Linked DNA regions of Sus scrofa. The protein of the gene in region 2 interacts with the protein of the main gene of each other region in a pairwise test. Links are inferred from orthologs where the notes say so. Each region holds a gene or a part of one and is shown on either strand. Other genes may lie near its edges.

What was found. The genes of interacting proteins can lie anywhere in the genome.
Region 1: the proteins of YWHAG (region 2) and FAM53C interact in binary tests that used the Homo sapiens proteins (3 or more experiments, as listed by UniProt). The link is inferred for Sus scrofa from reciprocal best matches to the Homo sapiens genes YWHAG and FAM53C.

Annotation. Positions count from the first base shown.
Region 1 is NC_010444.4:140,336,961-140,340,605, forward strand, and holds part of FAM53C (protein FAM53C), read left to right. Parts: intron 1-1,280; coding exon 1,281-2,065; intron 2,066-3,220; coding exon 3,221-3,478; 3' UTR 3,479-3,645.
Region 2 is NC_010445.4:9,993,513-9,997,694, forward strand, and holds the start of YWHAG (14-3-3 protein gamma), read left to right. Parts: upstream 1-1,289; 5' UTR 1,290-1,521; coding exon 1,522-1,608; intron 1,609-4,182. UniProt on the Homo sapiens protein: Adapter protein implicated in the regulation of a large spectrum of both general and specialized signaling pathways. Binds to a large number of partners, usually by recognition of a phosphoserine or phosphothreonine motif.

The sequences.
Region 1 (3,645 bases), on a different chromosome or scaffold from region 2:
CGGAAGGCATAGTTCTCCTTTTCACAACTCAGGGCAGGGGGTTGGGGGAGCAAAGCAGAGCCTGGTGGAGTAGAGTGAGGGGTGAGCATGGCATAAGCACGTTTGCTTCTTCTGACTCATTGCACCTTTGAGAGGGAGTAGCAGACGATATATGAGACTATGTTTTCAGTTTCAGATGGTTTCTCATAAAGGAGGCAGTAGAGTACAGTGGTTAAAAGCCCTAGCTTGAGCGAGTTTCCCTGGTGGCTCAGTGGTAACAAACCCGACTAGTATCCATGAGGACACAGGTTTGATCCTTGGCCCCTCTCAGTGGGTTGAAGATCTGGTATTGCTGTGACCTGTGGTGTGGGTCCCAGATTCGGCTCGGATCTGGCATTGCTGTGGCTGTGGTGTAGGCTCACAGCTGTAACTCTGATTCAACCCATGGCCTGGGAACTTCTGTATGCCGCGGGTACAGCCCTAAAAAACAAAAAATAAAAAAAATTTTTAAAAGACTTAGGTTTAGGAGTTCCCGTCGTGGCACAGTGGTTAATGAACCCGACTAGGAACCATGACGTTCCAGGTGTTCTATCCCTGGCCTCGCTCAGTGGGTTAAGGATCCGGTGTTGCCGTGAACTGCGGTGTAGGTCACAGATGTGGCTCAAATCTGACGTTGCTGTGGCTGTGGTGTAGGCCTGCAGCTATAGCTCCAATTAGACCCCTAGCCTGGGAACCTCCATATGCTGCAGGTGCAGCCCTAGAAAAGACAAAAAAAAAAAAAAAAAAAAAAGACTTAGCTTTGGCATCAGACAAATCTAGGTGTGAATACTGCTTTGGTCATTTGATTCCTACATGACTTTTGGCAAGTTATAGAACTTCTCTTATCTGTGAAATGGGGGTAGTTATAGAACCTAACTCATGAGATTTTTGAGACATGTCACATAGAGTACTCATTACATTGTGTGGCACGTAGTAAGCTTTTAAAAATATATTAGCTATCACAGGAGTTCCCAACCTGGCTTAGTGGTTAACGAACTTGGCTAGTATCCATGAGGATGTGGGTTCCATCCCTGGCCTCTCTCAGTGGGTTAAGGATCTGGCGTTGCCGTGAACTGTGGGGTAGGTCGCAGACCCGACTCGGATTCTGAGTTGCTATGGCTGTGGTGTAGGCTGGCAGCTGTAGCTCCAATTCAACCCATAGCTTGGGAACTTCCACATGCCATGGGAGACAAAAAGACAAAAGACAAAAATAAAAATGTTAGTTATCATTAATATTAATTTTTATTCTGAATGCCTTCCAGAAGGTGCTTCCTGGAGGGGTCTGCCCCCATGTTCCTGTGCCGAGTTCCAGGACAGCCTCAACCTCAGTTACCATCCCTCAGGCTTGAGCCTGCACCTCAGACCACCCAGCCCGGGAAGTTCCCTACAGGAGCAGCCCCTCTCCCAAGTCCTAAGCCCTGAGCCCCCAGACCCAGAAAAGCTTCCTGTGCCCCCTGCCCCTCCGTCCAAGAGGCACTGCCGCTCACTCTCAGTGCCCGTGGACCTGTCTCGCTGGCAGCCGGTGTGGCGGCCCGCCCCCTCCAAGCTGTGGACTCCCATCAAGCACCGGGGCAGTGGTGGAGGGGGTGGGCCGCAGGTGCCTCACCAGAGCCCCCCGAAGCGGGTCTCCAGCCTCAGGTTCCTCCAAGCTCCCAGTGCCTCTTCTCAATGTGCCCCAGCCCACAGACCCTACAGTCCCCCTTTCTTCAGCCTGGCCCTGGCCCAAGAGTCCTCTCGTCCCTCTGCTGCCTCCCCGCAGAGTGGCTCCTGGGAGAGTGATGCTGAGTCCTTGTCACCTTGCCCACCCCAGCGCCGCTTCTCCCTGTCGCCCAGCCTGGGCCCACAGGCAAGCCGCTTCTTGCCCTCTGCCCGGAGCTCCCCCGCATCCTCCCCGGAGCTGCCCTGGCGACCTCGAGGCCTGCGCAATCTTCCCCGAAGCCGCTCACAGCCTTGCGATCTTGATGCCCGAAAAGCTGGGGTCAAGCGGCGCCATGAGGAGGACCCGCGGCGGCTGCGGCCTTCCTTGGACTTTGACAAGATGAATCAGGTGGGACCTGCAGGACCAGGGAGGCTTGGATGGGAGTAGGGGCACTGTTCCGTTTTCACTTTTGTGCTGTCCTCTAGCTCTGGGCCCTTCCTGGGTCTCCCCAGGAGCTCCTTTCTCTCTGAGCTTTTTGCTAGGGTGTTCTGTCTCCATTTACCCAGGACTATCCCGGTTTTAGCCCTGAAGGTCCCAGGTCTTGTGAAAAGCCTCAGTCCTGGGGGGTTCCAGAGAAACTTGGGATGAGACCTCTGTTAAACCTTCCAACAGAGATCCCACATTGTCATGCTAGAGGCACTTTGGCTCCTCTCTGAGAAGGCAAGAGCTACCAAAGCTCCATCATCAGTGCCCCACCCTCCTCACACATGGCTGGCTTTACCCCTTGCCCTTCGCTGCTTGCTGTGGGTCTGTGACGGCTTAAGCATGGCAGTCTGCTACATCATTCATCTGCCCAACAAATGTTTTTGACTTCCCAGTGTGCGTGCAGTTGTTGTATGCACTTGCCCACTTTTTCCATGTTCTTCCTTCTAAATTACTGGGTTGCAAACCTTTTCGAATAAGTGAGAACCTATTCACTCATTCATAGAATCATTCATTCAACTAGTCAGCAAACAATATTGAATACCTGCTATGTAGCAGGCTCTGAGGAGGCACTAGCAATCCAGTAGTGGAATAAGCAGACAGCATTCCTGCCCACGTGAAGATTTTATTGATTAATTGATTTTTGCTTTTTAGGGCCGCACCTGCGGTATGTGGAGGTTCCCAGGCTAGGGGTCTGATAGGAGCTACAGCTGCTGAAGCCTCAGATCTGCGTCTGCGACGTACACCATAGCTCACAGCAACACCAGCTCCTTAACCCACTGAGCAAGGCCAGAGATCGAACCTGCAACCTCATGGTTCCTAGTCGGATTTGTTTCCGCCCCACCACGACGGGAACTCCCATGTGAAGATTTTAAACCTGCTTCTAATCTTGAATCTCATAGAAACTGTGGGCTCTTTCTTCAAAGAAATGTGCATGTATACCAAATATCCCAAATTTTATCAGGGAGGTCATGACCTCACCCTAATGCTTAGGACTCCTGCCTTCAAGGCACTCTGGGCCAGGGTTCTCTGGGAAGTGAGTGTCTTTCTTTGCTTTAATTTTGTTTGTTTGTTTGACAGAAACCATACTCAGGAGGTCTCTGTCTCCAAGAAACAGCCCCGGAAGGCAGCAGTAACTCTCCACCGTGGTTCATGGCCTGTAGCCCCCCGCCTCTCTCTGCTTCCTGCAGCCCCATTGGGGGTTCCTCCCAGGTGCTGAGTGAAAGCGAAGAGGAGGAAGAGGGGGCCGTGCGGTGGGGGCGGCAGGCGCTGAGCAAGCGGACACTGTGCCAGCAGGACTTTGGGGACCTGGACTTGAATCTGATTGAGGAGAACTAAAACTGAGAGGCTGCTTCCTGGGGCCACACAGACTGACTCTCTTATGGCTACTAACAAGTGTCGAGGTCCCAAGGCCCGGGGCCCAGCCTGGGAATGGGGGTGAGTGGAGGGCTCCGACTCAGGGCAGCCGGAAATCTTCTCGCTCCAGGAAGCTCGACCATGCCGAG
Region 2 (4,182 bases):
AGGATCTGCTATTGCTGCAGCTGTGGTGCAGGCTTCAACTGCAGGCGTGGGTTTGATCCTTGACCCAGAAACTTCCATATGCTGTGGGTGCAAAAAAAAAAAAAATTCTTTATTACTTTCTAAAGTACTCTACACACTTATCTTTACTTTGCCTATTTTCTTGGGCAGGGATTTTATTTGATTTGTTCTCTGCCGTACCCTATTGCCTAGAACAGTGCCTGGAACATTGTAGGTGTGCAATAAGATAAGTGCTGGATAAACGAAATAAAACGTGCAGTCAAAACTGTGGGTTGTGTGAGCTACATGGAATGTCAAAAAGGGAAGCACATGAGCAAGAATTAGTCAGATTGACCTCAGCGTGTATATTCTAGGCGGGCAGAAAAGAGTTGGTTAACCCCTACACACAACCCAGTGTTGAGCAGCCATTGGCTAACTGAATTGAATCTTTAATGCTCCACCCTGGAGAGGAAGGAAGGGGCTCACCAGGGGTAGACCCGCAAACTACTGCTGTATCCTTTCTACAAATTGACCAGGACGCCCTCCTGGTATTTGTCTTTCCAGATTTCCACCTGTCAGGTCCAAGAATCTCAAGGTGGGGATGCGGAGGGAGCTGGAACCTTGTGGGGGAGGGTGACAGTCCCCCAAGGTTTGGCTCCTTAATTCAACCATCCCTCAGGCGGTCACCACCCTCACAGTTTTAATCAATAGTGTACGGACCCCACCTCTCCAGACCCCCACCCCCCTCCATGTCCTGCTATTTTATCTCAGAAACATGGTCCAGGGCTGAGGCCCTGGCCCCCTCCTCCAGTAATTTCCCCAAGCATGTGGGGCGGGGCCGTGAATCAGCACTCACTGGGACTGATGCATCCTCCGTCCCCGCCAGGGGTCCCCAGCGGCCGCAGAATTAGGAACCCCCCCCTCCCCGTCCCATCCTCCTCTGTCTGAGCGCTACGACAACAGGGAGATGTAGTCTTGGCTGCCCCTTTGTCCCTGATCTCCCCAACGTATCGCCGCACCCGAGGATGAACTACAACTCCCAGGGGCCCAGGCGCCGGAGGCCTGAGAGGGCCGCGGTCTGCAGGACGAAGGGTGGGGGCCGTCTGGAGAAGATAGGGCACAGCAGCCGGGGTGAAGGGAAGCACCCGGCTCGTTGGGGGGCAGCGGGGAAGGAGGGGACGCCCAGAGAGCGGCGCCGAGCTGAGTTGGGGAGGGGAAACCCAAGGAACGGAAGGGCCGGGGCGGGGGTGCGCGGGCGGGTGGGCGGGGCCGTTGCGTCACGCGGCGTGGGCGGGGCCGCAGGGGGTTGTCCGCCCGCGGCACGCACAGCAGTCGCAGCCGCCTCGCGCCCGGTCCCGCGGTCGCAGCTCGAGCCGCAGCCTCTGCGCCGCCACCGTCGCCGCCTCAGCCGCTCGCTTCGTGGGTCGGTCCCTCCGGCACACGGGCTCCAGCCGCGTCGCAGCCGTCCCCTGAGCCCCTCAGGCCGCCCCGGTCTCCTTGCCCGGCCCGACCCAGCCCGTGAAGATGGTGGACCGCGAGCAACTGGTGCAGAAAGCCCGGCTGGCGGAGCAGGCGGAGCGCTACGACGACATGGCCGCGGCCATGAAGAACGTGAGTTTCTCCTCCCCTCCCCCCGCCTCGCCCCAGCCCCTTTGCAGACGCGGGCCTTCGTCGGCTCTTCCGGGGGACTGGTTGCCTGTTGCAGCTGCAGGTCTCTCGCCCCTGAGGGAGCTGGGGAGGGTCCCGAGAGCGCTGAGGACCGGGTGTGACGCGGCCTCGCTCCGAGCGTCCCCCGGGGCCGGCGGCGCTGTCTCCTCAGCCCTCCTCGCGCTCGGGCTGGGGCGGGGTCTTGCAGGGCTGGTCTGGGCAGCCGGCTCTCCGGCCGCCGCGCCTTTGGCTTTGCCGGGGACCTGAGCCGGGGCCACGCGCATCCTTTGTGCCCCACTTCCCCTCCTCCCAGCCTGGGCGTGTGGGGGCGGGGGACCGCATGGATGCGGTTCCTCTTTTCTCCCTGGTGTCTGGGCGGCGCCTTTTCCATTCACTCAGCAGGTCTCCCGGTTTTCTGATGCTCCCCCTCTCCCCAAATCTTCCCACTGTCTCTCGAGACAGGTCCTTTAGAGTCTCCCCGGTAAAAACGTAGGCTGTCCTGAAAACCTGGGCGCAGTAGTACAAAATCGAAACCTCCTTGCTCACGTTTTTCTTAACAAAAGGCTCCTCTTTCTTTACCTCAAAGCAAGCCCTCTTGATTTTAGGAAGAGGGGAACGTTTGTTTGGCTAGCTTTTTCATTGATTGTTCTTAATATGTTATCTCTAATTTTTCCTAGTGTTTTTTGTATTGAAAAGGGTAGGTATTGTCTTAAAAATAAAGGTTGTGAATTTAGCTGACTGGTTCAATTTGTGATAATATGCCGTTTCTCTTTTAAACACAGGCACACATCTGTTGAAATTCCTATAAGTTGAAAAAATATTCTCTCTGATCTGATACTGCAAACAAAGCGGTGGTGGGAGGCAGTATCAAGTCATTCCAGAAGATTCTGCATTTGTCATATTGCAGAGAGCCTAGACTGGGTGGAGGCTGGGAGGAGTTATTTTAAAGGGGAAAAAATATCTTTTTTTTTTTTTTTAATTTGTTTTGTTAGATATATCTGAGGCTTAAAAAAAGCTATCACATCCTTATTGGTGATGAAAAGAGAATACTGATCTCCAGTTGTCGCATTTTGTCTGGGATGCAGATTCCTGCCTGTATTGCACCATTTTGTAACACTACATTTGTCTAATGGGCAGACAACCAGTTTGATGGTGGGGGGGAGTATTGACCATTATTAAATGAAACCTAGAAAATTATCTAGTGATTTAGGTCTCCCACTATTTTAATAAATAAGTTAAATACTTCTTGCCTTATGTAACAAAGGTTTTAAAGTGCATCTCCTGTGTGTAGCAGATGCAGGAGTGTACCTTGCGTGTTAAATCTTTTTAATGAAGCAGTGTAGGTATTACAGATTCATTAATTCTTGAATAATTTTACTGGTTCACAAAAGATGACAATACTGATGCCTTTATATTTAAGTCATCTACATTAATAAGGGGTTTTTATTCCCTTAAGGAAGAGAATTGACTCTGAAATTGGGAGCACTGCTTTATTAAGAGACTGCTACAGTTGCTGTCTTTAAAGTGCAAATGATAGAAGTTATACTTTAATAGATATCAGTATCTTCAGTTCAATTATTTAGACTCTTCTAATTTTTCCATATTTCTAGTTTCACAGGAAAGCGAGTGACCTCGCACCTATATCCATAGCAACCCAGTGATGTCACACAATGACACAGAGGCTGCAATGCACCTAAGGGCTGGTAGGGAGTATTCAGATGGCATTTGTCCAAGGTAATGCAGAAATTATCAGATGAGCCAGGTGGAATTGAGTACTTTATGTTCTATCAGATGAGAATTGGTCCCCAAAATAAAGTATTTCATTTATCCTTAGACTTGCAAATCAGGGACCTCTAGATATGCCTGTTCTCCTTCCTATTTCTAGTTTTCTCAAAAGTTTAAGGATACAGTAGTGTTTTTAAACATTCATCTCACTATTAAAATTGGGCAATGAAGGAATAAAGTTAAAAATTTTAAGCAATTTTTTTGTGATCATAGTGCAGGGGTGGGTTGTATACATGGCTTTATTGCAAATTATTAATGTGGCAGGTTTTAAAAAAACCTTTAAAAAATTACAACTTCCTACTCGGTCATTTTCAGTAAATGTCAGGGAATGAGAATCCGTTTCAGAACACTTGAGCTTGGGATTGGGAAAAGTTTTCTTTTGCTGTGTTGATGCTTCTGCTCTTTGACGACAGAGCATGGAGGAAAGAACAGTTCATAAAATAAAGCAGACATTTTTCGAACCTGTTTACTGTGATTCTGAGGGTTAGGCTTACCTTTGACCTTCACTTTCTTCCTCTGTAAAATGGGTCAATACCTACTTGAAAAAGTTGCAAGGATTAAATAAAAACTGTAGATGCTTTAAAAAAGTAACTGTTTCTTCCTCTCTTTGTAAAGGTTATCACTGAATTTGGAAAATAGAGGAAGATACAAAAAAAAAGTCCTTCCCTTAAGGTTGGAGTAATCCAGGTGCTAGAGTGATGAAATTTATTTGAATTTAATGAAATTACCCTAGTAATAGTTAGGACCTGTGAC